Nothobranchius furzeri: one gene and its partners. The protein of the gene in region 1 purifies or fractionates together with the protein of each later gene. This does not show direct contact. Links are inferred from orthologs where the notes say so. Each region holds a gene or a part of one and is shown in the gene's direction. Other genes may lie near its edges. The genes, in order: exoc5, exoc3, exoc1, exoc7 and exoc8.

Region 1 (5,788 bases):
GCTCAGACAAGCATACGTTCCTGTCCAAGCTGATAAAGAGCATCTTCTCCTCCTACCTGGAGACTTACATCAACATGGAAAGGGAATACCTTCGCACTCGAGGCGGCCAGATTCTGCAACGATACTACGACTCCAAGAACCACCAGAAACGCCCCATCGGCATCAGCGGGTCTGTTTTCAACTTCAGCTTTGTCACCTGTTATAATAAATTCTGGAAATGTTAATTGTCTTCTTAAAGCATTCAAGACCTGAAAGAGCGGATCAGACAGCGCACCAATCTTCCACTGGGCCCCAGCATCGACACCCACGGGGAGACCTTCTTGTCCCCAGAACTGGTTGTTAACTTGCTGCAGGAGACACGTCATGCCTTTGAGAGATGCCACAGGGTGAGCCGTCTCTGCTTTCTGCAGACCGAACAGCTGATTGGCTTGCTTTTAGCACATCCTAGTGTTCCCTAAGGTTTCCCTTTTTTTCCCACTACCTCCTCGCTGTGCAGTAGCGCCCCCAGAAAAAATTCATAGGGTGGCCAGGTGGGGCTAGAGAAAATTTTGGGGGTGGCACACCAGGTTGGTCCGTATGGTAGCTCTGCAAGCCTGTGTTGATGCATTGCATGCTCCTTTATTCTTTTTAATTAAAAACACAAAATGCATCCAACACACTTACCTCAGATTTGAAGAACTTTTCACAAAAACATCTATAAAAACTTTAGAGATTTAAACGTGTTGAGCAGGAGAAACGTGTATACTTTTTAAAAATCTGATTATTTATTTATTCTTTAATTGTATATGTTATTGGGTTTAAATAATAATTAAATAATATTCTGTGAACATTGATATGATTCATCAAAGAACATTGGTCTTCTCTGGCGTGGCCAGCATTTTCTACCCCTTGTGGGCGCCGCTGTCGCTCTGCGGTCGACTTTTGAACCCCATAATCTAACTGCTGAAATGTCTCCTCAGCCTTCATTAGATTCCACAGGAGTGATTCATCACTAAATCAAACAAATCAGCTGTGTTCACGATCTAAACAAACAGGAAACGTGTTGGAAGCAGACTGCAGTGCCAGGCATGTCAGCTCCCCTTTACTAAGTTCAGCAGAGACTGGACCGGCACTCTGAAGTTGCAAGTGTGATATTCTGGCCACAGAGGGCGGTGGAGGTCTTAGTGGCATTTCATTAACACTGTAAAAGGTCATTTTAGCACATACTGGCTCGAGAGAGTTATGTAGAATAAGGAAAATGTTGCATAGTATGCCTTTAAAGATGGATTATGTGTTGTTGGAAAAATGCATTCAAGCAAGCTACAACAAAAAATCTAAGTACCAATCCCTTTCTTCAAACTCCCCCCTAGAGTTACAGAATCTGATGGTGTCAGAAAATGGTAAAACATCTGCTTGTGACACACACACACACACACACACACACACGCAGGTTTGCTGAGCTGCTAAGGTCAAAATGTTCAGATCCAACTCCGAAGCAGACCTCCTCCCGCGTGTCCCCTCTGCCAAACTAGAATGCTAGCTTTTGTGGCGTTTGGTGTTTTTTTTTTTGGTGAAAAACAATCCAGTTTTCAGCTTTCTTGGTTTATTCTAAAATTCAAAACCACTACGGTTCTTTGCCACCAGCACAAACAAAACTTCTAGAACACGAACTGAACTCTGTCCTTTCCGCCTGCTCAGGGTGAAGTGCACACATTAGGGCTAGGCAATAAATCGAACATTTATCGTTATCGAGGTGAAATCCTCGGGATATCGTGACATTGATTTTAGGCCACATCGCCCAGCCCTAGCACACATAAACTCACACACTCACTCGTTCCCACGCAGAGTTGAGACTTTTCTCTTCATTCCCAAAACAAAACCTCCATCACCTAAACGTTTCCCAACAGGAACAGAACCAGACTCTGAACAGGATGTGTAAAACAAATGAGACTTGCAAACGGAACAGGACATTTCGTCCATGACACCAAAGCAGCTCAGCTAGCTTCTCTTCCTGTTCGGCTGCTCCACCGAGTGCGAGCATGTCCTGCACACACAGTGTTCTGTGCAGATCAATGATGGATGGGTTATGATCCAATCATTTAGAAGGGGGATAAGGTCTTTTCAGGACTGTGTGCTTCAGAGGCGGTTAAAACTTTATTTTTTGAGATAATATTTGATTCATTGGTCGTTGGTGGAGAGCATCTCAAGGAAAAATGTTTATTTTTTATTTTTTTATTTAACAGCTTTCAGATCCTTCTGATTTGCCCAAAAACGCCTTCTCGATTTTCCTCCTGCTGGTGGAACATCTGTGTGTGGAGCACATCGACTACGCCCTGGAGATCGGCCTCGCAGGTACGAACGTCTAAGTGACAACAGAATGTGTCCGTCTGGTCTTTCCAGATCATTTCTCAAAATGAACATTTTTTTTAAGAGTCCACCTACTGTAAATGATAAAAATGATGCTTTCATCTACATTTTGATCTGACTGGTCTCACGTCTGTTTGATCTGCAGCGATTCCTTCATCTGATGCCAAGAATGCCAACCTGTACTTCCTGGACGTGGTTCAGCAGGCGAACTCCATCTTCCATTTGTTTGACAAGCAGTTTAATGACCAGCTGATGCCTTTAATAAGGTCGGATACAAGCCAGCATTCTAGTTTTTGTGTACTTTATTCTTTAGCAAATACCCAAGAAATGTTTTTGTTTTCCATGGAAACGCACATAAACACGACTATAGGACCCTTTTATGTGTTTCCATGAAAAACAGTGAAGTTTCTAAGTGATGCTTAACTTTTGAGCAGTGCTTTCATTAGGGGGTTAGCCTTTGAATTCACTCTCGTCTACAGCTCTTCCCCAAAGCTGGCGGAGTGTTTGCACAAGAAGAAAGAAGTGATCGAGCAGATGGAGGTGAAACTGGACACGGGAATCGACAGGTTGATGTGTTTATAGTGTAAAATCTGTTTCCATGAGTAAATGGAAACCTTCTGATCTGCGTTTCTGTCACACAGAACACTGAACTGCATGGTGGGGCAGATGAAGCACGTCCTGACCACTGAGCAGAAGAAAACGGACTTCAGGCCTGAGGATGAGAACAATGTCATGATCCAGTGCACTTCAGTGAGAGACTCGCCCCATAAATAAAATGAATCGTTTTAAGATAAACATTTGTTGATGATACAAACCATTCTCCTGGTTCCTTCGGCAGGCCTGCTCCAAGGTGTGTGCCTACGTCAGTCGGCAGGTGGAGCACGTGCGGAAGTCCATGGATGGGAAAAACGTGGACACGGTGCTGACGGAGCTGGGGGTGCGCTTTCACAGACTCATCCACGAGCATTTACAGCAGTACAGCTACAGCTCCATGGGGGGCATGTTGGCCATCTGCGACGTGGCCGAGTACCGACGATGCGCCAAGGACTTCAGGGTGAGAGAGGAACTTTGAACGCGGCTTGGCTCACTTCACCTGTAGTTTAATGCATCTGCTGTAACGTCTCCGTCCTCAGGTCCCTCTGGTGCTGCAGCTCTTCGACACACTCCACGCCCTCTGTAACCTGCTGGTGGTTGCTCCCGACAACCTGAAGCAAGTCTGCTCGGGGGAGCAGCTCACCAACCTGGACCGGAACCTTCTGCACGCCTTTGTCCAGCTCAGGGCGGACTACCGGTCAGCCAGACTGGGTCGACATTTCAGCTAATGACTCCCGGAACGCTCGCTGTTCTCCGTCCAAGGATAAATGAGCTTTGATGAGAAGATGCACCTTCAAGGTGATGCATCATCACACAGACTACAAGCAGTGGAAGACTGCTTGTAGGCTCCTAAAAATGTGGGAAATGTGCATTTTGTATTTTTATTTTCAATGTCCATCAAATTAGAATTCCCTTTGTTTTTAAACACCAATTGTTCATAAATTCATGTTATAATTAAAATAACTGTAATTATATCTCTGCTAACATTAAAAATATGTTTTGCTTGTGCCAAATATATAAGTCCTGCAGCTGCTCTTGTGCACAAGAATCCACTCTGGTGTTGTTTTAAAGGGAAACTGTCAACAACCAGGGTGCAGACACGAGCTCTGCAGTTGCACTGCATGATGGGAACACACAAAGGCCGAGCTTCATCTCCCTAAAGGTAGAAACGGCCATGATGCCGGTGTACCAGAAACTTCCAGTTCTGGTACTCAATGTACATCTGTGCAGGGAGAAGTTTATACATTATTCATTAAGGTAAAAAAAACTTCCATAAGTTATTACTAATTCAGTTTTTAGTGTCCGACATGACTCAAGCACAAGTGTGTCTAGAATACATTTCAGTAGAAACCAACATTTTGATCGTGTAAGCTTTGATCAAAGGGCATGAATTAAAAATGGCTCAGTTCAATCCAAACAGCCAATTAGGTAAGAAAGAATGGATTTTTCTGACATCTTGTTGTTGGTTTAGTGTAAAAAAAATAACCTAAAAGAGACACATGACCACCTTTTCATATTCTGACTGCCAACCACAAAGGCTGAGTCAGGAGGAGATCCCAGCGAAGTGTGATCTGAGCACCAAAGAGGGCCTGAGAATCTCTGGAGGGTTTGGGTGGTCCCCTCATGGCTCAGGTGCTTGGGTCACTGAGTGTGTGTTACTGTAATTGCTCAGATCAGCACTCACTCATCCAAGACTGAGCATTGTTGGGCTGATCTGCTGCATTTCTGGGTCAGAGGACACTAAAATGTTGACCTTTGGTGATTAAGGCTCCAAGGTAAAAAGGGACTTCTTCACACAGGGCTTATTTGGGCTCCATATCACCTGAGGTCATGACCCGCTGTACTGCTGTTTACCCCGATTCAATAAAAGACGCGTTTTATCATCGTTCATCTGTGTGGATAATTATGTTCTGAAGTTTGCCCGTTCCTCTCTGTGAATGTCACTTTCAAAGTGGGATGAAACAGTCCTCCTTTCTGTAGAAGTCATCAAGTATTCATAGGAATTCTTGCCACCAGTGTAAAGTTCCTTCTCCGACTTCAGGAAGTGAGCCGAGCCAGAGGGGATTAGATATCTACCAGCTGATGAATTGTGTGCAGTAGTCATGAACTGAGGGGGGGGGGGGGGGCAGAGAGATAGAGACGGCTGAGAGCTCAGTTCCTGTGCCGGCTGGTTAGTGTTGTGTAGAAGGTACACAGTGCTGTTCAAGTTCAAACAACATAGTAAATTAGGCTAATATTAATATTATCAATGCCACATAAATTCAATTCTCTCTGTCCTAATCACAACTGGATAGCTTGTAAAAATTATTGAGTTAGGCCCTGATGCAAACAGCGGCTCTTTTCCAAACATTTGACAGCTATTTGTTTTCGCAGCGATTAATGTGGAAAGGGGTTTGGGAGGGGGGGTGGAGCGGAGCCGGGCCAGAGACGATAACTGGTGTAGAGATGGAGGCAGCCGCGCAGCCTGGCCCTCAGGGGCTCCCAGCACCGCCGTACGGAGGAGGGGGAGGGAGAGGGGGTTGTGGGGGGGTGTTTGAGCAGGTGGAGGGGATTAGTAATATTGTCAACACTGGAGAGCTGGATAAGACCGTCCTCTTTAACTCGTCACTCCGAACAACTCTTGTACGCGCGTTTGGAAGCATAAGGAAATAAAAACTACAGACCGAGCAGGAAGACGAGCGTGGCTCAGACTGAGGTCGGCTATTCCTAGAAAGCTACCAAATCAAAGGAGTCATGTAGGGAAGTACAAATACATGGTTACTTTACTTAAAGGTGCAATAAGTAAGACTTTTACAGTGAAATAATCACAAAAAAGTCTCAATCAAGCTGGAAGGAAGGTTAGATTGAA
Region 2 (6,026 bases), on another chromosome or scaffold:
GAGAGAAATCATAAATAAACAAATCTGATACAGAGAAACAAAACAACCTTAGACTTAAACTTTCTAATTCAGCTCCTCAGGGTTGAGTCCGCACACCGAGAGCTGACCCACACAACTACGTTTATTTGATTCAGAGTTTGCTCGACTCGCATATTTACTCCTCAGAAGTATGAGAGTTGGTCTCTTAAGCCGGGCGGACACTGTGAGACTTTTTCACTCGTAGCACTCAGCTTCAGCTCAAACGGTACGACTTCCTCGCAGGGCAGATCTCACGAGTCATGCGCTCACACTGTACGTCTGGTAGCAACACGTCGGCCCTAAAAATATGCTAAAAATAGCAGTTTTTATTCAACACGTCAGACTTTTTTTGTCTTGCCTGTTGTCCTTCGGGAGTGCTGCAGGGGGACACACAGGGATTTATGGGGGTTGGATGAGGAAAACGAAATAAAGAAAGTAAATCTGTGTTTTGTGATCAGTTTAATTTGACATGAACACGACAAACACGCTTTCTTGACAATCTTTGTGAGTAAAAAACACGTAGAAATAAAAACGAACAACGTGTGTTGTTAGGAAAATAGCGGGCGAGCGGTGTTGATGCATGACTGCGCATGCGTCGTGGGCGGTTCTGGTACTTTTGGGTCGCAGCCGCTCGCAGCGCCGCTTCAACAGTGCGATACCCTCACGAGGGACGAGCGAAATATCAAACACGCCAGAAGTCCGTGCGAGCTCACGATTGCTGATCGGTAGCTGGTCACGTGGTGTTAATGGCCTCTCGAAACCCCCTGTACACTACACGACGCTCGGCGCAAAACTCGCCCCGATCTCGTGGATTCTCGCACGACTGGAAAATCGGCTCAAAAAAAGTGAAAAAGTCACACAGTGTCCGCCCGGCTTTGCTGTGAAAACACTAAACTGGTTTTATTTGACCCGAGGACCCACAGATCAGTGATTTTAAAGACCAGAACCGAGGTTCGGCGTTTATTTATGCTAGATCAAGGTCACTGTCGACGGTGACGCCGGGCCGTTGTGAGGCCTCCCAGTATGCATCGATGAACCATCAAAGTTAATGCTGAAGTTTAATTCTGGGGTCTGTAAAAGTATTTTCTGCAAGAACCCCCGAATGCTTCAGTAATATCAGAGCCAAGATCATCTTTATTGTTGTTGCCCCAGCGTCCCAGAGCACAGGCCAAGGTTAGACACAGACATGGAGAACAAAAACAGATACAGGCGGGCCACGAGAGCAGCCGTACAAGGCGCTCAGTGTGTGTGTGTGTGTGCGCGTGCGTTTGATGGATTGCTTGTTTCCAGTCTAATATAACAGGCTGGCTGAGGAAGGCCCTGGAGACGGATAAGAAGGACTGGCAGAAGGAAAGCGAGCCTGAGGCAGACCAGGATGGGTTCTACCAGACCACGCTGCCAGCCATCGTCTTTCAGGTGAAACACAAAGTTCTGTTCTCTCGACTTAGCTGCAGAACCCTGATTAACTGAACCTGCAGGGTGTCTGTTGTTAGTTTGGCTCAGAACCAAGGAATTTGCATGCAGTAATGTCAGTTTGTCTTCCCCATGATTGGTCTTTCCTCTCTCTCTCCCCTCCCTCCCTCCCTGTGGTCCATCAACTCTTTTCTAGATGTTTGAACAAAATCTTCAGGTAGCTGCACAGATCGATGGAGACTTCAAAGAACAGGTTCTAAAGCTTTGCCTGAAGCAGATGCACTCTTTCCTCGTCAGGTATTTGTTCTTATACATCTTGAGACTTTGGTCTTCGCCCCTCATTCATTCAGAATTCATTCATTTGTAAATTAAGTCCAATTGAATTAGTTTGGTAAAACACAATCAGTTATTGAATGTCCTCCAACTCAGAGATGGATTGAGGAAATGAGTCAGTGAGCCCCTGGGCTGCTGTGGCTACATTGTAGCTCATTATCTTCAGTGTGTGAATGGGTGAATGACTAAGGGCTGTTATATACTTGCTGTTTGATGACGCAAATGCTATGGGATGCCATTTGTAAAGTCTAACAGTCACAATCTAACAGCAATATTTTTGGTTATTTAGCATATCATAAGAGAAAAAATTGGGAGTTCACTTTTTCGAAGTCATATTTTCATCATGTTATTCATACATTTATAAATGTTAAAGTTTCCAAATAAATATTTAGTTAGCAAGCTAAATATTTAATTTGTAGTTAAATATTTATTTTGCAAACTAAATATTTAGGTCTGATCTAAATATTTAGTTTGTAAAATAATTATTTAATTCACTAAATATTTAATTTACTAATTAAATATTTATTTTGGAACTAAATATTTAATTTGTAAATTAAATATTTATTTTCCGAAATAAATATTTAGATCCCAGCTAAATATTTATTTTGGAGCTAAACATTTAGTTTGCAAAATCAATATTTGGGAAATAAATATTTAAGTCTGACCCAAAAATATAAAATATAGTGTGGAGCTAAATAACATTGTGGAAAATAAATATTTAGCTGGTACTTAAACATTTAGCCAATATGCTAATTCGCTTGCCAATAAGCGGAAGTTGGTTACCAAAATAAATGCTGGATCTCGCTAACTTCTTTTTAAACTCTTGCTCCGAACCAGAACTTGTTTTATCTCCGGTTCTATTCTTCTTCAGCCAACACGTCGGACATGTTCAGAAGAATAGAACCGGAGATAAAACAAGCCCAAGATAAAGTCGATTTTGGTTCCGTTTATTTACGTAGTGCCAAATCACAACAAGAGTCGTCTCAAGGCACTTAACAAAGTAAACATTCCAACTGAACATCCCTTATCAGTGCACCAAGTTAAGTTTCGTAAGGAAACACAGCAGATTGCATCGAGTCACTGACTTGTTGTGTCAGAGACTTTAGTTTACAGCAATCCCCATGCTAAGGTAGCATGTAGCGACAGTGCAGAGGAAAACTCCAGCAGATCCTGGCTCAGTATGAGCAGACATCCATCGAGACTCAGTTTGGGGTTTGAGAAGATGATTTACAAGCCACGATTGTGTGTGTGTGTGTGTGTGTGTGTGTGTGTGTGTGTGTGCTTGCAGATATCGGGAGGAAGCTGTTGCCTACAAGGAGGAGCACCTGAAAGACAGACAGCTGCCTCAGTGTTATGTACAGTACATGATAGCCATCATCAACAACTGCCAGACATTCAAGTAAGTTCTTATTTACACCTTCTAGTGCCTTGGGTTTACCAGGATGTTATCTCCAGTTGCGTTAGGTTGGACAGACTGGTGTATTTCTGGGACCATGAAGGAGACATAGAGTCTTTTGGGGGGCAGGTGTAAATGAGTTAGAACGTTACAGGTGAAAGTAAAGCTTTGTGCTGATTAGCAACCTTGCCTTGAGTTTGCCGCCTTGGCTTTAGTGTTGCTGCTTCTATCAGATCCAGGTAGAGGTGTGGTGATTGTTTTGTTGCGTGTTTTTATTCAGAGAGTCCATCAGCAGTCTGAAGAGGAAGTATTCCCGGTCCTCGGAGCTCAGCGACAGCGACGCTGCTATTGACAGGACACTAGGTGAGGTGGCCAAGGAGGGCTGCCAGTTCCTGTTAGACGAAGTCTTCCTGGATCTGGAGGTAACACAACTCAATTATGTCCAACTTTTTTTTCAGGACTTTATTTCCTGTAGTGTTTTGTAAAAAAAAAAAAAAGGCCTCTGAGGGAGTTGGGAGTGATTTTGCGTCGCCCGTACGTGGGTCACCAGGGCCCCCCTCTGGAGTTGGGGAACTTTAGAAAGTGCCTGATGGCCGGGACTTTACCCATGGAGCCCGGCGGGGCACAGCCTGAAGAGGAGACGTATGTCCCCCTTCCCCTGAGCTCACCAATCGTGGGAGGGGCCAAAGAGGTTTGGTACATTGTGTGTCGGGTGGTAGCAGAAGGCAGGGACCTTGGTGGTCTGATCCTCAGCTATAAAAGCTAGCTCTCGATACATGTCGCCTGTCTGGTGGGGAAAGAGCCGGAGTTGGTGTGTGAGGTTGAGAAGTTCCAGTTAGATGTAGTTAAACTTACCTCAACGTGTGGCTCTGGCTCTGGTTTCCTCGAGAGAGGTTGGACTTTCTACCACTCTGGAGTTGCTCCCACTGAGAGGCGCCCAGCAGGGGTGGGCATACTTGTTGCCCTCCATCTTGGTGCCTGTACGTTGGGGTTCTGTCACAAGCCATCTTCCCACACTAGCTGACTCTTTAACAGATGTTACGTCTCAGGGTTGACTTGTATTTCTATTTATGCGTGGGCGTGATATTCAGTCGCTCTCTATGACTGCCTGCACACTATAGGAGCTGATCAGCGATCACCATTAACCTAGACCAGGGGTGTCAAACTCATTTTAGCTCAGGGGCCACATTGAGGGAAATCTAGTCCCAAGTGGGCCGGACCGGTAAATAAAAAAAAAAACTTCAGATTGTTTTCTTTGTTTTCTTTGTTTTAATACAATCAATATAAAACGAGGCTGGAGCCTGAGGACAGTGTAGTACAAGTACAACACCTGAAGTGTACTTGAAAATTTGAAAAAAATAATCAATAAAATTAAAAAAAAATTCCTTAGTGATTCAAAGAGCTTACAGATCACATGGCTAGATGAGTTTCATGCAGCACTTAAAGTATATTTGACTCATTTTACTTTACATCTTTTAGCTTCACCAGCACATCAACATCAGAAGTCACATCCTGAGTGGCGGCCAACTTCAGGAAGTGATTCAAGTTCTTGTGTGAGCCTTGAGCGCAGCTTTGTTTTATTTATACTCATTACAGAGGAAACTTGCTCACAAAGATAAGTTTATTTTCACTCTACATTGTAAAGTATGAAAATAAAGTTTACACAACCATCTCATGGGCCGGATTTAACCCGCTTGCGGGCCAGATCCGGCCCGCGGGCCGCATGTTTGACACCCCTGACCTAGACTCTGATCCCAGCCAACAGACTGCTTGCAGCTGAAAGGAAGACTCGGTTCAAACCCAAACACATCTTTTAGTCACCTGCAGCTCATGTATTGCTCAGGTTAATGACTCTAAAATGACTGGCCTAAACCTCTTGGAGTGGGATAACAAGTAACCAGCATCTCACCTTTTTGGTTACACGACACCAACGGAGACCCCAGGCACCCAAAATCCTTTTAAGTTTCTTACAGTAAGAAACCAAGGTTTTTATTTAATAGGATGAAAAAAGATGAATCCAAACAGAATCACCCCAACGCAGCGGGTAAGAAAAAACACAGAGCTCCACCGAACTCGTACAGAACTCTCCCAGAACTCAGAACTCTCCTGGGCCCCCCTTTTTATTACTTTACTTCCCCCTCCTTCTTGTCTCCTCTTCGTCTCCATGACAACTCCCGCTTCAGGAAGCACTCTGCTCAGCCTTGTGACTCCTCCCAGCGTCTCTTGCTTGGTGTTCTTCAGGCTTGTGGTCATCAATCGACAGGGCGAGGCGAGCCTTCCTTGTCTTCTCCAGGGGTCTGCTTAAGCCAACCATAAGCATATCCCAGACGCAGCGTCTACCCTGAATCTTTATTGCATTCTGGACTAACCCCACAGAGGTCAGTAAAAGGCTAAAGCCACAACATATATTCACCAAAAACAGCAGAGTCGTGAAGCACATCCATTATTTACGACATTAGGAGATCAGGAGTCAAATCACACACACACATTCACCCACACACAGCCTTTCTTTGACCTCCCAGCCTGGTTTTATTAACACACAGATCGAGAGGTAATCCAGAACTGCTTTCTTTTAATACGCAGGTCTGGAATCAAAAATCTTTGTTCAACAGGTTCAAAGCGTTCCGATGATGGCAACTGGACTTCTTTGGTTTCTTGATGACGTTTTGCTTCTCATTTAAGGAGCTTTGTCAATTCTGACTGGAATATGGGAGGATTAGACTTATAAGCTGTAGCTGTAGCTGTCTGTTGTTGCTGGCGGGAAAAATGTTAGCTGACACACCTGGCGCTGCAGTCTGGCTCCAGCACGTTTCCTGCATGTTTTAGATCATGAAGACAACTGGTTTGTTTAATTTAGTGATGAATC
Region 3 (6,665 bases), on another chromosome or scaffold:
ACCGAATTCCATAGTACCTACCGAGCACCGATTCACGTCATTTCAAACGGTGCCTCGTTTCGGTACCCGTCCATCATAACGAGAACTTGCCAAGACAGCTGCGCATGAGCAAGAGCGTTTTAACGTCGCTCGCTGTGAACCAGTTGTAAACAGAGCAGCATGGGTAGAAAGAACACACGCTAAAGCTTGGGTCCACTTCACTAAATGTGATGGGTAACTGGGTGATGATGAAACCAGCAACAATGATCTAAGTGAGACATCCTCATCTTAATCTGCTCCGGTAGGTAAATATAATTAGCTTGATATGTTAGCTTCCGTTTCGCTAATGGTGCGTTTGCTTTCTCCTCGAAACTCTGAATTCCCGACTAGAACAACATGAACGCGCTCTAAAGTTTGGCTTCAGGTTACTAAATGTGACGGGTGAAGACGAAACCAGCGACGATCTAAGTGTGAGGCATCATCGTTTTAATCTGCTTCAGCAGCTAAATAAACTGTTTAAGATATTGTTAGCTTGATATCTTAGCTTCCATTGCTACCATTGTTATCAGCTAATGGTGCGTTCGCTTTCTCCTCGGAAATTCTAACTTCCCAGTAGGAAAAATCAAATGAAAAAAGACGGCAAAAGGAATAAAGATACACAGTAAATTTAGTTCACAGTAAAGATGTTTGCTTCAGTTTAATTATCAGCTTATAAAACTACAAGGACGATGTTAAAATACAAACAGTTGTATGTTATTTATTGTGATATTTATCAAATATTGTTATATATTGAGAAAAAATATATTTAATTATAAAAGAGAATTAAAATAATAAACAGTCAAAAGTATCGAAAATTGGTACCGTTAAGTACCGGTATCGATTCGTAGGTACCGGTAATTAGTACCGGATCGATTCAAATGTCAAAGGTACCCATCCCTACTTGAGCGGCAAGCAACAAACCCCCACGAAGGAATGCAGACAGATGCTGTAAAAACCCGACACCCACCCCCACCCCCCACCCCGCCTTTGGATTGGTGGACTTCAACCTGGCAAGGTCATCAATCTGCTGGAGACAATGTGCTCTTCGCTTCTCCCAAGATCTCCCTCCCACCTGTGACTGTACAGCAGATGACCGCCGTGGATGGCTGCTTCCGCTGGGGGAATCAGGATCCCAGCCCCCCCCCCCCCCGCCTTCCTATTGGAGTCTCCACCTGATCCAACTCTCATGTAACCCTCTTATCTCTATTAAGGTAGCCCAACTCGGGTTGCGAATGACCACAGTTACCAATTCTTGTCATGTGTCTTGCCCATGTATGTCTGATCTCTGAATTGTGTGTACTGAAACTCTAATTTCCCTCTGGGATTAATAAAGTATTGATTGATTGATTGATTGATTGATTGATTGATTGATTGATTGATTGAGATTCTTATCTGGGGCCATGAGAATATCATTTGTAACTTTCACTAATACAGTTTCAGTGCTGTGATACTCTCTAAAACCAGACTGAAATTCCTCAAACAGAGCATTGGTGTTTAAATGCTCACATACTTGGATGGCCACTATTTTCTCCAGGACTTTGGATAAAAATGGAAGGTTAGATATTGGTCTATAATTCATTGGGTCATCTGGATCCAGAGAAGGCTTCTTAAGTGAAGGTTAGATTACAGCAACCTTAAAATCCTGTGGTACATACCCATTTACTAAGGATAGACTGATTATACCTAGAAAGGGGGCAGTAACCAAAGGAATTGCATTTTTAAATAATTTGGTTGGGATTGGATCTAAATTGCAAGTTGAAGTTAGATGAAGCTAATATTTTTGATAACTCTGAAAGCTCAACTGGATCAAAACGGTTCAAACACAGATGAGGTTCTACAGTTACCTCTGATGCTGCCTCACTTACTGAGGAAGAAGAAATCACATTAGGGAGGATGCTAAAGATTTTGTTTCTAATGGAATTAATTTTACTTGTGAAAAATTCCATAAAGTTGTTACTGCTGAGTGAATCGATGGTTCAGAGTTATGATTTTGTGTAAGTTTGGCAACTGTACTGAAAATAAATTTTGGATTATTCTTATTCTCCTCAATTAGCGCTGAAAAATAAGCAGTTCTAGCTTGTCGAAGCTTATTTTTATAAAGCACAAGACTATTTTTCCAGGATAAGTAGGACTCCTCCTGGTGTGTAGAGCACCGTGTTCTCTCCAATTTTCTAGAGTTTTGTTTTAAAGTTCGTAAATGAAAATCAAACCAGGGAGCCAACCGCCTATCCCTAATTACCTTCTTTTTTAAAGGGGCAACATCATCTAACACACGCACGCACGCACGTACGCACGCACACACACACACACACACACACACATACACGCATTCAGGCGCATAATGTGAAAGTATAAAAGTAAACATGGTAATAATATATCTAAAATATCAAGTAAATTATTGAGTCAAATTAATCTAAATGTAAACAGAGGCCCATGTTAAGGTGTCAGAAGTAACTTGTAACTGTAAAGGTGTAGTAGTGCACAGAAGCACTGACCTGGCTCCTAGCAGCAATAGATTCAGTTCAGGGTTGGCTCTTACACGTTGTTCAGTTACTGCTTTAAATAAGTTAAATTCGTTCCAAGAATTTCGCACATTACTGAAAATGACCAATAACTTTTAAAAAAAACTATCATTAAAATGGGTTTAGTATTTCCAGTGGGCGTGGCCTTTGGGTTGTCACATGACAGCTGTGGCCGAGAAGCAGGAAGTGAGAGGGCGGTGCTTTGAAGGGCTGCAGCGGATGAAAATAAGGTAAATGCTACGTAAAATCTATACTATTTTCAATATTTATAGAATATTTTGATTACGATATCTAAACACGCAATGTAGAGTCATTTGTGAATGTAGCTACAATGCACGTTGGGCAGTTTTTGCTGATCGTCGATAGCTTAGCAATGCTAGCCTAGGACTAATATCTAACCGGAGAGAGGACAACGTTTTTATAGGAACTAGTGCTGATTCTGTACCACATACACGACCTAAGTTGCTTCAGAACCCTTTAATTCGGGGTTTGGTAGCTTGTTATTGCTTAATAGAAACATTTACTACGATAGTCTCTCAGATTCAATCTCCGGCTTTATGTATACGTTAAACAGTAAACAGTGCAGTCTGCAAAAGCACCAGTCAGTAACCTTTTCCTGTGCTGCTAAAAACTGTCAAATTGGGTTAAATAAACGACTAAAGAATTTTTCGATAGCAAAGGAAAAAAATCAAGACTTGATATAACTTTTAGGGATTTTTTGCTGAATCTCTAAATGTTTTTCCGTGAAACGTCTGATATTTTTGAAGTTTGGTTCTTGTGTTCTCTGAAGGGCCTCGCTCTCTGTAATGTTGGTGGTGTTTGAATCACTCATCCGCCCCCCCCCCCCTCCCCACTTCATTCTGAGTTCCTACTCTGAATATGTGTTTTATTGTTAACTGGAAATCACGAACCGAACACTAGATACGTCTTGCGTTGATCAGATTCATGACTTGTTCTGTTCTGTATGACAGTACGATCCACCATGACAGCCATAAAGCACGCTCTCCAGAGGGACATCTTCACACCCAACGACGAGCGTCTTCTCGGCATAGTTAATGTCTGCAAGGCGGGAAAGAAAAAGAAAAACTGCTTCTTGTGTGCTACAGGTATGTGTGTGAAAGCTGCGGAAGCTCCTGTAAAGAACATTCATGATAAAAGGACTTTTTTTCCAGTTACCACAGAGAGGCCAGTCCAGGTTAAAGTGGTTAAGGTGAAGAAATCTGACAAGGGGGACTTTTATAAGAGACAGCAGACCTGGGAGCTCCGAGACCTGACAGTAGTAGATGCCAAAGATGCAAGCAAGGTTAGAGGTCACACGGTCTGTCATGGCGTCCCCTATTGGTTCAGCACTCTGCAGTTAGGACTGATGCATGCTCTGTTTACGTTGTAGGAAAACCCAGAGTTTGATCTTCATTTTGAGAAGGTTTACCGATGGTTGGCTAGCAGCACAGCTGAAAAAAACTCCTTCATTTCCTGTATCTGGAAGCTGAACCAGCGTTATCTAAGGAAGAAGTTGGAGTTTGTCAACGTCAACTCTCAGCTCCTTGAAGGTGGGTAAATGCTAAAACTTCAGCCAGCTCAGAGTCTGCATGCTCCTTACTATAACTTAATTGTAATTCTTTAAAGATGCATCTTTTCCCCTCAAGCTCTACAACTCTACAACCTTTTGCATGTGTAATGTGTATACCTCCATAATTTGGTAGATTTTATTTACAGGTAGCATGTTTTTAAAACTGAAAGCCTCTTCTTTGTATGTTGGTTTGTGTCAGTAGTTTTCTTTGTTAAGTTCTTTTTTTATTCTCACTCTTTTTCTCTTGATCTTTCTGTGGCCAGAGCTTCCTAAAGCTGAAGGTTGGTAGGAATAAACTTTCCGCTTGATCCCTCCTCCTACCTCTTCATTATACTGTTCATGACCCCAAGCCACCATTTTCATCAAAGATTCTAGTTTTCCTGCATTTCCTGTGATTTAAATCATGTAATTAAACATGGAGGACATAATAATACTAATGATAATTATAACATCAACTGTAACACAAACTTAGGTTGTTCAGCTATTCTATCTATTCCACATTAAGTCATGACTTAATTTTTTTGTGGCATTAGTGCACTGTACACATAGTTTATGCTCACCTCTTCTACATGTTATGTATTAAAATAGTCATAGTCTAATAATAAACACTAAATAAAATTTAGCTCATGTATGTGCTTTTTGACCTCATGCCACTGCCTGAGATTGGTTTTCATTTTGTGTTCATATCCCTGCTACATTATCATCAGATGTCGGTAATAAATGAGATTTTACGGCCTTTAGTAGCATTTCTTTAAACTCTAAATACCTTTGATTCTATTTATTTAAATCAAAGAAATAATAAAAAATAATCTGACAACAATGGCAGTGCTTCTGGTATTATCATCTGTATTCCTAATTTCACTTATTTTCATGGACTTAGAGTCGGTGCCGAGCGGTGAGAGCCAGAGTGTTGCCGGAGGCGACGAGGATGCCCTGGATGACTACCAAGAGCTCAGCACTCGTGAGGAGCAGGACATTGAGAGCATGATGGAGACGTGCGAGTACGCGATCTCTAACGCCGAAGCTTTTGCAGAGAAGCTCTTCAAGGAGCTGCAAGTTTTAGACGGGGTGAGCGAAGCAGTCACTGACGCTCTCTTTTTTTTTTTTTTTGCTAGTTTCTCAGAAAACCCAAATCATTAACGTATTAACTGCCAGCAGTTTCCGGATCAGAAAAGCCTCTCGCTGCCAGTGGTTTTGAGCGTTTTAACGGTTTTTTGAAGAGTCACAGAACGTTGTGCTCAATGATGAAATCAACTCCAAGATCACCAAAACAAAGGGTAGACTCACTTCCCACATCAGGACGGATCCGCGTGTTTCTAGAGTTATCTGTTCTTTCATAATCCGTCGTCATGGCAGATGCTTCTCCGGTTCCCACCTCACCTTTATCACAGCGGCGGCCCAAAACGGTCTCCTAATACATGGATTTTCTGATCAGGTGGTGTGTGACATGAGCGGCTGAAGATCAGCTTTGGAGCCGGGATGTTTGTTCTCACGGTGTGGGGGCTTGTTCCCACACCTGCCCAGTAATAAAATGCAATTGATGACTTTAGTTGTTGATGGCAGCGAGCGGTTGGATTTAAAATGATGACTTTAGTCGTCAATAGCAGTTAATGAGTTAACCAAAAAGGCATCTCTGGATCTGTGTCTTCCTAAAGGCCAACATCCAGTCCATCATGGCATCAGAGAAGCAGGTCAATATCCTGATGCAGCTGCTGGATGAAGCTCTGACAGAGGTGGACACCATTGAGGGAAAGCTGAGCAGCTACGAGGAGATGCTCCAGAGCGTCAAGGATCAGATGGATCAGATCTCCCAGAGCAACCGTCTCATCCAGATCAGCAACACCAACAATAACAAACTGCTGGATGAGATCCAGTTCTTAGTGGTGAGGCGCTATAACACACAGTTGTGTGTGTGTGACACTGAGTCACAGTGTGTTGTTAGATGACTCTGGTTCCTCTCTCCTCCTGTAGAACTACATGGATTTGTCAAAGGGGCACATCAGGGCTCTGCAGGAAGGAGACCTCACCTCCCCTAAAGGGATAGAGGCCTGCATCAATGCTTCTGAAGCTCTGCTGCAGTGCATGAGCGTGGCTCTGCGGCCAGGTATTGAGTAACTTCTGCAGAAATAAATTGACTTTGTAGTTTTTTTTTAGTGTTCAATCAAATGAAAGTGTACGTTACTTCCTTCAGGTCATGAAAAGCTGATGGCTGTGAGGCAGCAGCAGCTTCTGTTTGCTGAGCTGAGAGACACGTTTGCTCGCCGCCTCACCAATCACCTTAACAATGTGTTTGTTCACCAGGTGAGTGCTCAGTCTTGTCCTTTACAACCGTGTTCCTACTCAGGCTGGACAATTTCTTTCATGTGGATTTTCTGTACCTTAACTTAAAAGCAACAACATGTTAAATGCTGCTGTAGCATGACTGGCTGTGGCTGGTCACATGACCTTATGTCATTTTTATCAGCTTTGTTACACAGAAACAACAAAGCTACACAAAATATCAGATATCTGGTTTGACGTGGCTTTTTTTCTGTTTATATACATCAGAGAATAAG
Region 4 (6,468 bases), on another chromosome or scaffold:
TCTGTTGCCAAGCTGCGCGCGCATTCTCGCTGACGTCATATTGTTTACAAACAGTAAAAGGGTCTGTTGATCTAATGGAAGCTAACGTACAAAAGCTACTAACGATCAAAAGGTTAGAACCACCTTGACCCTCAGAAAAACATTTTGAGGATTGTTTTTATAATGTGGATGTTCTTGAATAAGCAGGAACAGACTGATTTCCCAGCTTTTAAGTGATGACGCTGCTGTATTTGTGCCAGCCTTTGGTGATCATGGGTCTGGTGCTGCAAGGGGCCAACCTGTACGGATACGTCAAATGTAAAGTGGGAGCAAAGACCAGCTTAAGGAACATGGCCACTAATTATTTTGGCAGACAGTTTCTCAAACAGGTGAGTTGATCTTTGAGTGAAACACAGCGAAGAATCTTCTCCTCGTGTGTGTTTATGAAAACTGTTTTATTTTCAGACTCTGTCTAAAGAAGAGGAGTCGTAGAGAGCAGCGCCACACATCTACATGATACCAAGTGGACACAGTTCAACCTCCTCAACATAACAGCTTTTGTTTTTCCTATCTTGTGTTTAATTTAAAGTTTTTTCTTTTCACTTTCTTTGTAAAGGTAGAGGTTTGGCTGCTTTTTTTCAGTAACTGAAACTGATTAATAAATCTGTACTCATACAGGCATGAATCATTCAAATGACTAGTTTGTGCTGGAGCCTCATGAATCTATCTTCAGTTTGTTTTCATTTCCTAGAACTAGTTTATGTAATTGTAAAATGTTAATCAGAGCGTTTGTATGAATACATTTTGCATCCATAACAGTGTGTTCAGATTTGTAAATATGTATACAAACTATGAGAACCAACTTCTTGTCTGCAAATACATTTGTAATTTTTGCGAATGGTGTGTTTTTCTTATTAACCCATCAAAACAATCCTATTAGTCATGTTAAACACACCTGTGACCAGTGTAAATCCAAATGATCTCCCCTGGAGGGAGTCAATTTCCCTCAGCTTGTAATGCTGTAGTTAGCTGGGGTAAGCACTCCACAACTATAGTGTTTATAAAAAAAACTTTTATTGTGTTAAGATGAAGGAAAGGCATGTTTGGGTGAGTTTCGTTCTTGCTGACCCCTAAATGTCATTCAGGACTATTCAATTCTGCTTCTGGATTGCTGGTATCCAGCATGTTTTAGTTTGAACTGCTGCAGCACACCTGATTTCAATCAGCAGGTGATTAGCAGGCTTCTGCATAGCCTGATGAACTGCTGCACAGGTGATGCAATCTCTGAATCAAGTGTGTTGGAGCAGAGAAATTACTAAAACATGCTGGATACCGGCCCTCCAGACCCGGAATTGAATATCCCAGCTATAGGTTTTTATTTGGAAATTTTACAGGAGTAGCAAATAAGATAATGTAATGTTATGAATGTAGTTCTCGGTTGTTTTTCTACTCTTCCACTTTCATAATAATATACCAAAAAGAATAAAAACAAACACAATTTAATTGAAATAAATAGGCTAATATTTAGAATCAAAGTGAAGTTCCGTTATTACTCCACTGGAGGTCGACAACTCGTTCACTGCAGTTTCATTAAAACGGTTATACTTTTATTTGCTGGACTCGCTCTAAATGATTTGCTGTTAATAATTAGTGTAAAGACATGTTTCCTAATTCAAGTATCGTGGTTTAAATTCAATTCAGATACCGGAAAAGACTAACACGCCTCACCGGATACTTTCTAAACATGCCTTCAAAATAAACTCAAACATTTATGATGTTTACAAGTAAACAAATTAAACTACAAACAAATTGCGAAACCTTAACACCATTAAACATACTCAAATTTCTAATGTTCAGTTTTACATTTAATAGCTCAAGGCTTTAAAAATATCGGATGAAAGCTAAGTGCTCCCCTGCCGAAACCTTTCTATGTAGTGTACCCCGGAGTTTTATCTGATATAAATAGACACAGATATTTAGATCTAGAGTCAATATTTGATGTCAAATGCTCAGTAAAATGCATTTTCCGATCTGATCTCCAAGTGTTGATTTATTCTGAAATGACAGCCGGAAGTTACGGCTGTTGGGGCTGTCCAACCTAGTTTGTGATTGCTACCTTTAGCTTTTAGGAACTGTGGCTTTTGCTAGTTTTTTTTAATGACCTAAACAGGTCTGTAATCGCTCATTCCTCCTTGGAGACAGCCCTTTGACGGGAACTAACTTCAGGATGATTCCTACTGAGGACGCGTCCGCCAGGAAGCGGGAGATTGAGGAGAAACTGAAGCAGGTCAGACTCCGATGGACAGGAAGGGGCTTTATTCTGCCCAATTCGGTGCTTAAAACGAACAATAACAGAGTCCAGACACCAGCTGAGAGCAAACTCTGATCGTTCTTAGTGTTTTCAGACTGTTTGTGGTGAGCTGTTGATTTTCTGTGGGATGTTACAGGAGCAGGAGACGCTGTCATTCATCCGAGAGAACCTGGAGAAGAGCGATCAGCTGACCAAAGGCATGGTAAGAAAACAACACAACATCCGGGTCACCTAACGAACAAACGTTTCAAAAGTTACCAATAAAAAATTATAAGGTCAAAGGTCAGTCTAGGTTTCAAGGGACACGTTTCGTTTAATATACAGTTATTAAAGCGACCAATCAAATAAAATCCCGTTTAAAAATTAAAGCAGAAAACATAAAAAAAGATAAACATTTAAGATTGAAAGTTGAAAATAGTGACTTTACATGTGTCTGAAATGTTTCAATGGATGTTGTTTATTTGAAACTGCTATTTAATCGTAAATTGTTAGTTTTTTGTCTGTTGAAACCTTTTTATTATTTTGTATTTTATTTATCTGAAGCCCACTTTGACTAAACTAAGACAATTGTTTCCGTTCATGTGGGACACTGCTAAGAGTTTATTATATATTATATATAAGTATTTATGGTTGTAATCTAAACTCGATTTCTAATTTTATTATACATGAATCTATGACTTTTTTTTTCAATAAAAGCACAAACTATCTGTTAGGTTCCAATGATTTAAAGGGATTTTGTTCTAAACACAAGTTTTCTTTTGTCTGAACCGAACTAGAAGCCCTATATTTATATTCTCAGTGTTTTGAACCTTTTGTTATTTTCTTTCTCATCCTGAAAGGTTTCCATCCTGTCATCGTTTGAGAGCCGCCTAATGCAGCTGGAGAACTCCATCATCCCGGTCCACAAGCAGACAGAGAACCTGCAGCGACTGCAGGACAATGTGGACAAAACTCTTTCCTGCATGGATCACGTCATTAGTTATTACCACGTGGCCAAAGACACTGACAGGATCATTCGAGAGGGGTGAGGACTGTCTCTGGAAACATTAAATGGTTCTGCTACTGGTATTGAGTCATAACGTGTGTGTGCGTGTGCGTGCGTGCGCTTGTTGTGTCTCAGACCTGCAGGCAGACTGGACGAGTATCTCGCTTGTATCGCAAAGATCCAGAAAGCTGTGGAATACTTTCAGGACAACCACCCTGACAGCCCTGAGCTCAACACAGTGGTACGATCTCATCCTGAATCTGTTTGTCCTGCTACTAGGACACATTTGACTGAATCCTCTCATTGGTGCTAAAATAATTTATTCTGGTGGTGGAAAAAAACAGCCGAAAGTCCAAATCAAAAATAGAGTATGACCTTCAGAACTCCTGAGAAACTGTTGATCAAGATAACTTTAAAGGGAACATAACTTTTTTTCTTAAATTATAACAGTTCTTTGGTTGATACCAAATATGTTTATGAAGTTTTTTTGCACCAAATCCCTCTTACGTTAAGTGATTTCAGTAGTTTTATTCTTGACAGTTTTAGTATCTTCCAGAGTGAGCCATTACGTTGCTTTAGGAAAACAAGCTGTAATTGGCCACGCCCACCCATCCCACTCACTCAGGCTGCTATTAGCTGAGAAGCTTCGATATCCAGGAAAGGATCAGAGTAACCCCTACTGCTCAATGGAAGCATCAGCACTGCAGAAGAGCAGCAGAGCGTCACTGCTTCAAATAAAACCCATTCAAATCTATGGGGGTGATTCAAACCAGCCGCGACTCGGCCATTTTCAGATGCATCTCAGAAGTGGCACACCGCACCGCTAAAGATGGGATCGTGTTCTATTTTTGCCGCGAGCCGCTTCCGGGATGCAACAATTAATGTAGTGCTAGACAGGAAATCACACACGATTTCAGTGTAAAACCCCAGTAATTTTCAAAATAAATGTATATTGCAGCGATGCGACTTCACATTTATGTAGATTACATCAATACAAGCGACCCAGCGGCTTATTTACTCCCTGCATCATTCCAGAAGTGCAGCTGTGTGTTTTTTATGGCTTTTGTCCTGGCAGTTGAGAGGAACAACATCATATATGTCAACAAACGTGATTTCCTTCTTTTTGGTTTAATGGCGGACGACATAAACTTGAGGGATTTTGTGATCTCGCGAGTTAAGCAAGGAGGATGGTGGAAGTCTCGAGGGATTTTGTGATTCCGCTGGTTGAGCGAGGAGCACAGCAGAGAAGCCGCTTTGCAGCTGATACTCTCCCGGTATGCTCTGGAGTGCAGCAGTTGTTGCAAGTAAGTCTTTCTGCTGCTGCTCCGTGCCACAGATGCTTCCAGTGTGCAGTAGGGGTAAGCCACTGGTCCTGCAGCAGCAGTTCTCTCTTGCACATGAGGGGTAGTTCTAATCTACTTTCCCTGTTTGTGACATCACAATTGGGGGATTTTTGAAACAGCTTTTTTTAGGCACTTCATTTTTTAAACCAAACGCTGACAGAAAAGAGATGGATGGATTTTTCATGTTTAGAGTGTTCATTTACAGTTCAGTTCATTTTTATTTCAAAGATTTCACACATGTATCATTACAAAATATAATTCCATTATTTGTTTGAGAAGGAGTAGGCAGAAGTATTTACTTATTTGTCCCTACCCCCAAGTTTTACCTCTTATTCATTTAATTTTCTTTCAGTCTTAAATTAAACAAACAACATATGAAAAAAAAATATAAAAAAACAAAAACAAACAACATATAGAAAACAGAGAATGTGTAAATTTGCAGTTTCACCAGTTATGGAGAAAAAAAGAAAAAAGAAAAAAAAAACACCGAAAAAGAAGCACAACAGCATGACCAGCCACATTACCGTCCTGGGTTAACCCTGTTTTCTTCATTCTTATACTTATTTAAAATTAGGTTTTTATATTTTACTTTAAACTGGTTTGTTTTTACTTTCTTTTATCTCTTCTGTTGGACTGTTCCATAATTTAACTCCTGCAATTGCAATTGACCTAGTTTTTAAAGTTGTTCTAGCACTTTGTATTTTTAAATTCAATTTCCCTCTTAAGTTATACCCACCTTCTCTTTGTTTGAACAATAAACAGATTTCTTTTGGAAGCAATTTATTTCTTACTTTATTTACAATTTAACACCAGCAGTGACTTTCCACTCCCATTATTACCTGTTCAAGTGAAAACATCAATAAAACGACTGAACAAGAACATAGTGACAATATAAATAACAGTAACCATCTATCATTTTAGTCATTTGTAATAATTTACATGAAAACAACTATTAGTATTTAAATTATTTATTTATTTTACATTTAATTGGGTTTTTGGGGCCCATTTCAGGACCACAAACTTGGTGTTTCACGACCCACAGTAAGGTCGCGACCCCAACTTTGAGAACCACCGTTTTACTGTTTGCACAAATTGACTAGGGCAGGGTACAGAGGATGTAATGGTCAGAGCTAAGAGTCGAAGCAAAGCTTAATATTGACAGTAAATCACATAATGGTACCTTTAACTTGTTCATTACGAGATAACAGCTTGGATATTATTTCTGCAGAAAGCTCGTTTTGAGAAGGGTAAAGAGCTGCTGGAGGCCGAATTTCGGAGCCTTCTGAACCGCTACAGTAAACCCGTCCCCCCAATTCTCATCCTGGACGTTATCAGTGTTGATGAAGACATGGAGCTGCAGGAGGAGGTGTTGCTAGAGCACCTGCCTGAGGCTGTCCTCCAGGATATCATCTGCATCGCCAGCTGGCTGGTGGAATATGGACGCAACCAGGGTATGACTAGTTTTAGAGGTGTCTTACGTCTCACTATTTATGAATATTTGGTCCTAAAACTTTTTGGGTTAAACCTGTGGAGTCCTCATCATTGTTTTGGTTCCATAAGTCCAACAAATTGTCTTCAGTCTCTGGGCAGATTTTACACACCAGCTGTTCCTGAAGGTTGATTTTCTTTTATGGTTCATTAATCACAGCTTCCAGGGTAATCATCATGCAATAGGAGGTGGTTCAGGTTGTAGTCCATAACCACCGGTAGGTGTGGGCCATGTCGGGACCAGGAGGAGACCATGGTGGAATCATTATTAGCTGAAATAGTTAAAATACAGAAAATACTTTTCCCCTTATAGAAGCCCATTATCTCTGAGCTAAGTGTTGTCAGACTGTGAGGTATTTAGA
Region 5 (6,685 bases), on another chromosome or scaffold:
CCTCCAGGGGGTTGAAGTGATGTGGAGGAGCTGGAAGCTGCAGTAACAGCTGATTTGGTCTTTTCCTGCTCCCTTGATGATGCTGAACTGCTGCTTAATGTCTTGTCAACAAAATCAAAAATGGTGGCCGAGCTGCTGCAGTCATCCCACAGCCTCTCCCTGGGCGCCTGACCTTGGCTCGCTGCCCCAGGTGTGTCGACACCGACAGAGGAAGAATTTGGAGACATTGCCGCTCTTTTAGTCTCTGAGCCTGAGGGATGGCTTGTTGACTTTCTGTGAGTTTTGACATTGAAGAGATCGTGAATGGACCTCTGCTTGAACGCGTCGGCCCCGTGACCCCCAGAGCTGCTCCTAGATTTAGGAATTTTAACAGGTGAGCCGTTAATGTTTACAAAAGCTTTTGTGTTCCCGACAGACGTCTTTGCAGGTGGCTTTCCCCCTGAGGAGGCAGCTGCTCCACTGGAGACGGTTTTGGTTTGGTCAGGAACGGAAGACTTCTTAGGAGTGGAGGCGACGCTGGACGGAGGTGCTGAGGGAGATGTGGAGGTCTGGCACGTCGCTCCTAAGAGGAAACCTTTCCCACTGAATGGGATGATGTTCCTTATATCCTGAGATCCAGAACCTGAGCAGAAAGAAAGAAAGAAATGTTTTTGTATTTGGTCCTGATGGCAAATCCTGAATAAACTACTTAAAAAAATAGAAAAACTTCACCTTTACTTGTATTTAAAGGCTTGCCAGTACGTAAAGTCTTCTCTGAGGTGTTTGCATCCTTCTTCCCATCTTTTTTGCCTTTTTTCCTGTATCCTTCTGGCTCTTTGATCTTGGTGTACGTCCCGCCACACATCCTTTGATGATCCTCCCACCAAGGGTCCAGAGAAGATGGAGCTCGGTTGATAGCCCTCTTCACATAACCAAAGAAAGGCCTCCGGCTCTGGCAGGGCCCATTGCACCTCCACCAGTGCTGCCTGTAGACATCGACCTCATCATGGAAGCTGTGGTAGATCTGACCGAGGGACAAGAGGAGATTGTTATCGTAAAGTCAACCAAAACCACACAGAGCTGAAGGAGAAACACTTACTGTGATTTTCGTCCCACTGGCCTTGTTGATCCTGTTCATGTGTTTGCAGAACTCAGGACCGTGGCCTTCTCGGTCTCGGTTGTTCTGGGTCACAAACAGCAGTGCATGAATCATTTCATGAAGGAGAGTCTGTGGAAACAATCAAATTAACAAATTATTAGCAATAATCTGGATGAGGATTTTCTGTCTTTAAGATCCACTAATGTAAAGTGACCCATCCCACCTCCACCAGGTCTTTTCTGGGTCTCAGCTTCAAAAGAGGCTCACTGAGCCGGATGGAACAGAGTCCGCCTCGGCCTTCGTAAGAACACACACCAGCACACCTAGGTACGGAAACACACAGGAGGCATTTTCTCAAAACTCTGTTATTCCTGTAACACAGCGCTGGAGTGGAGGACATCAAAACAAGAAACAGGACACATTTTATACAATAGAGAAGGCCTTAACATTGCATAGAAGCACAAGGAAACCATAATAGAGCTTCATGAAACTGGACATTTTTTGCTTTTTTAGAAATTATGTTTGACATACTTTGTGTCAGATATTTAGTGGTACCCATTTGTTTAATCTTTTACCTTATTTTTCTTCAATAATGATGTTTTTCCAAGCATCTCGCGCTTTGTGGCTACCATATTTGAATCCCAGTAAAGCCAACAGTGTTTATAAACATCCCTGCTGTAGGAAATCTGGTGAACAAACAAAACTTACAGTGTCATTCTGGGGCTCCACTTCACCTCGACTCCGCTCAGTTTCCCCCAGAAGAACAGGCTATTAAACTCCAGAAACATGGCCCTCACATCTGGGTTTGGGTCCAGCATCTCCCAGGACTCATCCACGATGCTCAGGGGTTTCTCAGGCTCGTGACCCGGCTTCCAGGAGGGGACAGCAGCGCTGCCACCTCCGGCTGCTTCCACTTTCCGTCTCTTACTGCTTTGTTCGAAGTAATTATCCTCGAATCTATTTGATGAGGTTAATGACGTCTCGTACTCATTATCGAACTGCTCCTGTAATTTAATGGCAAGCAGGAAATCCGCATCCATGACATCAGAAGGCAGCTGTGCTAGCTTGTTAGCTGACTTGCTAATGTAAATAGCACGAAGTTCTGGAACAAACGACGTCTGCAGCCTAATTATAAAATCAACCTTTCAGAGAAACATCGGTAAAAGGACTGAAGTCATGACTTTGAAAGATGAATCTCATCTTCTTGTCAGCCAAAGGTATCTGTAATAATAGTCGGTCTGTCCACAGCTCGCGCCAAACAGCAGGTTTGCTACATGTACTACATTACAACGAGTCTCTTTCCGTATGAACTTCTAAATAAAAAACTACTTCAAACTTAATTTCGTGTTTGATTTGGCTTTCCCCGCTTAGTTTTGTATCTTATTTTAATCAGCAGATGACTAAAATTAGCTTGTTTAAACGCTGTTGAAAATCTGTAATGTTTCTGCAGCTACCGTAAACTTCCGGTAGGTAAATAGTTGGACAACAAAACACCTATTCCGGGTGTTGTTCAATAGCCCAGTAATCAGTAACAACTGCAAAATAACAACACACAAAAAGCAAAATGAGTAAATAAATAAACAGAAGCTTTAAAATAAAAATAAAACATTGTTTGGTTTACCTGAAAGATCAATAACAATTTTGTTCTGAGTTTTTGTTGATCATCCTTTTTGTTCTCCCTTCTCGTGACGTTCATGTGACGTTGACAACCCGGGTGTTGGAGAAGCCAGATCCTTTTGGGGTGTTGACCTGTTTTCAGCTTCCTGTGTTTGTTGACGTGGATATGAAGGCGCTCGTTCTCTGTTTGCGTTTCTCGTCAGTTTGTTAACAGTTTTGCTTAATAAGGAAACACGCAGACAACCAAAGATGTCGGAAACCGGGAACCGACTTCGGAAGCTGCTGGAATCGCCCAACTTCGATCCACAGAACTACGTCAAGCAGCTGTCACAGCAGTCGGATGGCGACAGAGACCTTCAGGAGCATCGTCAGAAAATTCAAACTCTGGCTGATGAAACGGCCCAAAACCTCAAGAAGAACGTGTACAAGAACTACAGACAGTTCATCGAAACGGCCAAGGAGATCTCCTTCCTGGAGAGCGAGATGTACCAGCTGAGCCACATCCTCACCGAGCAGAAGAGCATCATGGAGAGCATCACTCAGGCCTTACTGTCCACAGACAAGGACGAGACCTCCAAAGAGATGCAGGCAGCGTTCCCCAAAGAGACAGAGGACCTGAAGCAGAGGACTCTCACCTCACTGCTGGAGAAGGTGGAAGGAGCTAAAAACATCATGGACACCCCAGGGAGACACCTGGTCTACAATGGAGACCTCGTGGAGTTTGATGTGGACAACATGTCCCCCATCCAGAAGGCTCATGCTTTCCTGATGAATGACTGCCTGTTGATTGCCACCTGGCTGCCTAACCGCAGAGGCACAGTGAAGTATAAATACAATGCCCTGTATGATCTGGAGAGCTTTGCTGTGGTCAACGTAAAGGACAACCCTCCCATGAAGGACATGTTCAAGATTCTCATGTTCCCAGACAGCCGCATCTTCCAGGTGGAAAACAGCAAAGTCAAGAAGGAGTGGCTGGAGATCCTGGATGAAACCAAGAAAAAGAAAGCCTCCCAGGACAAACACAAGAAAGAGGAGGAGGTCCCCACCTCTCCCGTGCGAGCCGAAGTGTCCAACAACCCTTTTGATGTGGATGACGACGAGCCGGCAGATGCCGAGGAGAGTGTGGACCTCAGTCTCGAGTGGATCCAGGAGCTGCCCGAGGACCTGGATGTGTGCATCGCTCAGAGAGACTTTGAGGGTGCAGTGGACCTGCTGGACAAGCTGAACGAGTATCTCAAAGACCAGCCTGCGACCCAGACGGTGAAAGAGCTGAAGGCGAAGGTGGATGAGCGTGTGCGGCAGCTGACTGAGGTCTTGGTGTTTGAGCTGTCTCCTGATCGGTCGCTTCGTGGTGGACCTAAAGCGACCCGGCGGGCCGTGTCCCAGCTCATCAGATTAGGTCTTTATTTGTATTAATAAGATCTCACAGACCATTAAAATGTTGATTTCCCAAAACCAGTAAACATTTCAACACAAAGCCAGAGTAGTCCTTGGAGAATCCATGCCTGTAACAATTTAAAGTTATATTTCCAACAGTTGATGATGTCATTTCTGTGTTTCAGGTCAGTCCACCAAGGCTTGCGAGCTGTTCCTGAAGAACCGCGCCGCGGCTGTCCAGACGGCCATCCGGCAGCTCCGCATCGAAGGAGCCACGCTGCTCTACATCCACAAACTCTGCAACATTTTCTTCACCAGCCTGCTGGAAACTGCCAAGGAGTTTGAGACGGACTTTGCGGGGAACACGGGCTGCTACTCTGCCTTTGTGGTCTGGTCCAGATCGGCCATGACGATGTTTGTGGACGCGTTTAGCAAACAGGTCAGCAGAGGCTCAGCGATGTCCCTAACATGAGTCAAGAAATATGTTTCGATCATTATTCTTGATAAAAAAAAAATCAAGATCAATTATTGTTCCAATTATTTCAGAAAATGATTCAAAACGGCCAATTTTCTGTTTTCCAGGTGTTTGACAGCAAGGAGAGCCTGTCGACAGCAGCAGAGTGCGTTAAAGTGGCCAAGGAGCACTGTCAGCAGCTGACGGAGATCGGCCTGGATCAGACGTTCACGCTGCAGTCGCTGCTGGTCAAAGACGTCAAGGCAGCCCTGCTGAGCTACAAGAACATCATCATTGAGGCCACAAAACACCGGAACTCTGAGGAGATGTGGAGGAGGATGAACTTGATGACCCCTGAGGCTTTAACTAAGCTCAAGGTCGAACAGCCTTCCTTAATTCCCAATTTTGTGTTTGTTTCTTTTGTTTGAAGAAGAAAACTAAAGAAAATGCGGGTGTTGAGCAGCATCTAAGGCTTTTCTCTTCGTCTTGCAGGATGAGATGCGTAGCTGTGGGATTAGTTTCCAGCAGTACACGGGCGATGACTGCTGGGTGAACTTGAGCTACACCATCGTGGCCTTCACCAAGCAGATGATGAGCTTCCTGGAAGAGGGTCTGAAGCTCTACTTCCCCGAGCTGCACATGGTGCTGCTGGAGAGCCTGAGGGAGATCATCCTGGTGGCCGTGCAGCACGTCGACTACAGCCTGCGCTGTGAGCAGGACCCCGAGAAGAAGGCTTTCGTCCTGCAGAACGCCACCTTCCTCCACGACACCGTGCTGCCAGTGGTGGAGCGGCGGTTTGAGGAGGGTGTGGGGAAACCGGCCAAACAGCTGCGGGACCTGAGGAAGAGCACGAGGCCGGTGCGGATCAACCCAGAGAGCACCACATCCTTAGTCTGAGGCCGACAGGAGCTTCGACGGCTCGTTTAACAAACCGCGTGAGACTGAAACGGCGGCCGGTGGCCACTCCCCCCTTCCCTCCCTGTCATTTCACCTCCCCCCTCAGACCCGATCCACAACACTAACTACTGGGTGTTTAGATGCTGCAGGAAGGAAATGATGGTAAAATGAAAGAGTCAGTGATGACACAGTCGGACGTTTTATTTAAAGTTAAATTTTCCTGCTGCAGCTTGTTTAGTTCTCAGTTCTTCGGGTTAATAATCCATCATACAAAACGCTTCAGTCCAATGAAAGAATAAACCGACCTCTGCTGGTGTTTGACCTCGTTTACGTGAATATTTTATCTTACAAGGGATTCCTTATGTTAGCAAAACATCTGGTTTTAGGAACGTTTAAACGCGTCAAAATGATTGTATTTTTATTGTCACGTAAAGCTTAAACACACGAGCATGTGACGTGGGGATGACTAAAATTAGCACTCAGATATTCTGTTAAATTGTGGTTTTTGTCTGCAACCAGTAACCTTGTTAAACATACTGTTAGTCTTTTTTGTTTTTAGTATAAATGGGAACTGCAAAGTTTTTTTTTTTGGGGGGGTTGAAATGGGTCCCATTTATTCACACCTGCAGCTTATGCATGCAAATCCATTCAAATCCAATAAAACATGAAGGTTGCTGTTTAATTTTAACAATAAGAAGAACAGAAAATGTAATTTGCAATAAAAACTAAAGTTTAAACTTCACAGAAGTTTCTTTTTCATGTTTTTTTTCTTTCAGAAACTACAAAGTAAACGTTTCTGGTAAAAAAGATCAAAGGTTTAGTGGTTTGAAACGGCATCCTTATTTACAGCTCTTTCATTCCTTTTTGCTCACCTACTAAAAGTCAGATTTAGATTTTTTTTAAGCTTAACGCATTAATTTATGCCTTTGTGTGAATGGCTCACTGTTTATGACTGATTATTATAAAAGTAAAATAAAAATCACTCATAACTGATAGGTAAAGTATAAGTGAAGTGTTATGGGATCATAATTGCTCAAATGAAACTAGGGTTAAAAAAAAGGCTTTTAATTGTATTTCAGTGCCTGATTACGAATCCTAGCAGTGAGATTTGTCGCCCTCTTGTGGCAGAAAAATAGAAATTAGGCTTTCGTTGCTAAAAATGCACAGCTTTACTTTCAATTTTGTGGTTAGTCTGCTAAAAAAACAGCATTATTTATTAATTTGGAGCAACAGGGGGTTTAAAATGATGTAGAATATTATTA

Evidence for each region.
Region 2: the proteins of exoc5 (region 1) and exoc3 purify together in Homo sapiens (affinity purification with mass spectrometry; 7 studies listed by BioGRID and IntAct, counting the BioPlex papers as one, with this or other methods). This does not show direct contact. The link is inferred for Nothobranchius furzeri from reciprocal best matches to the Homo sapiens genes EXOC5 and EXOC3.
Region 3: the proteins of exoc5 (region 1) and exoc1 purify together in Homo sapiens (affinity purification with mass spectrometry; 4 studies listed by BioGRID and IntAct, counting the BioPlex papers as one, with this or other methods). This does not show direct contact. The link is inferred for Nothobranchius furzeri from reciprocal best matches to the Homo sapiens genes EXOC5 and EXOC1.
Region 4: the proteins of exoc5 (region 1) and exoc7 fractionate together in Homo sapiens (co-fractionation; 4 studies listed by BioGRID and IntAct, with this or other methods). This does not show direct contact. The link is inferred for Nothobranchius furzeri from reciprocal best matches to the Homo sapiens genes EXOC5 and EXOC7.
Region 5: the proteins of exoc5 (region 1) and exoc8 purify together in Homo sapiens (affinity purification with mass spectrometry; 5 studies listed by BioGRID and IntAct, counting the BioPlex papers as one, with this or other methods). This does not show direct contact. The link is inferred for Nothobranchius furzeri from reciprocal best matches to the Homo sapiens genes EXOC5 and EXOC8.

The regions. Positions count from the first base shown.
Region 1 is NC_091758.1:32,179,632-32,185,419, reverse strand, and holds the end of exoc5 (exocyst complex component 5), read left to right. Parts: coding exon 1-169; intron 170-238; coding exon 239-386; intron 387-2,222; coding exon 2,223-2,331; intron 2,332-2,491; coding exon 2,492-2,612; intron 2,613-2,825; coding exon 2,826-2,912; intron 2,913-2,987; coding exon 2,988-3,096; intron 3,097-3,184; coding exon 3,185-3,400; intron 3,401-3,479; coding exon 3,480-3,668; 3' UTR 3,669-3,898; downstream 3,899-5,788. UniProt on the Homo sapiens protein: Component of the exocyst complex involved in the docking of exocytic vesicles with fusion sites on the plasma membrane.
Region 2 is NC_091751.1:65,607,626-65,613,651, reverse strand, and holds part of exoc3 (exocyst complex component 3), read left to right. Parts: intron 1-1,308; coding exon 1,309-1,434; intron 1,435-1,627; coding exon 1,628-1,728; intron 1,729-3,052; coding exon 3,053-3,163; intron 3,164-3,440; coding exon 3,441-3,582; intron 3,583-6,026. UniProt on the Homo sapiens protein: Component of the exocyst complex involved in the docking of exocytic vesicles with fusion sites on the plasma membrane.
Region 3 is NC_091748.1:40,498,746-40,505,410, forward strand, and holds the start of exoc1 (exocyst complex component 1), read left to right. Parts: upstream 1-2,677; 5' UTR 2,678-2,770; intron 2,771-3,511; 5' UTR 3,512-3,522; coding exon 3,523-3,646; intron 3,647-3,712; coding exon 3,713-3,843; intron 3,844-3,930; coding exon 3,931-4,090; intron 4,091-4,373; coding exon 4,374-4,391; intron 4,392-4,990; coding exon 4,991-5,178; intron 5,179-5,765; coding exon 5,766-5,993; intron 5,994-6,081; coding exon 6,082-6,214; intron 6,215-6,301; coding exon 6,302-6,411; intron 6,412-6,665.
Region 4 is NC_091756.1:53,830,837-53,837,304, reverse strand, and holds the start of exoc7 (exocyst complex component 7), read left to right. Parts: upstream 1-2,070; 5' UTR 2,071-2,206; coding exon 2,207-2,266; intron 2,267-2,426; coding exon 2,427-2,492; intron 2,493-3,129; coding exon 3,130-3,314; intron 3,315-3,410; coding exon 3,411-3,516; intron 3,517-5,846; coding exon 5,847-6,069; intron 6,070-6,468. Other genes in the region: tvp23b (Golgi apparatus membrane protein TVP23 homolog B), read left to right, coding at 240-368, 445-471. UniProt on the Homo sapiens protein: Component of the exocyst complex involved in the docking of exocytic vesicles with fusion sites on the plasma membrane.
Region 5 is NC_091742.1:10,760,914-10,767,598, forward strand, and holds exoc8 (exocyst complex component 8), read left to right. Parts: upstream 1-2,795; 5' UTR 2,796-2,944; coding exon 2,945-4,094; intron 4,095-4,257; coding exon 4,258-4,511; intron 4,512-4,654; coding exon 4,655-4,903; intron 4,904-5,018; coding exon 5,019-5,423; 3' UTR 5,424-5,744; downstream 5,745-6,685. Other genes in the region: DNA-dependent metalloprotease SPRTN, read right to left, coding at 1-622, 712-1,003, 1,079-1,207, 1,302-1,401, 1,787-2,118. UniProt on the Homo sapiens protein: Component of the exocyst complex involved in the docking of exocytic vesicles with fusion sites on the plasma membrane.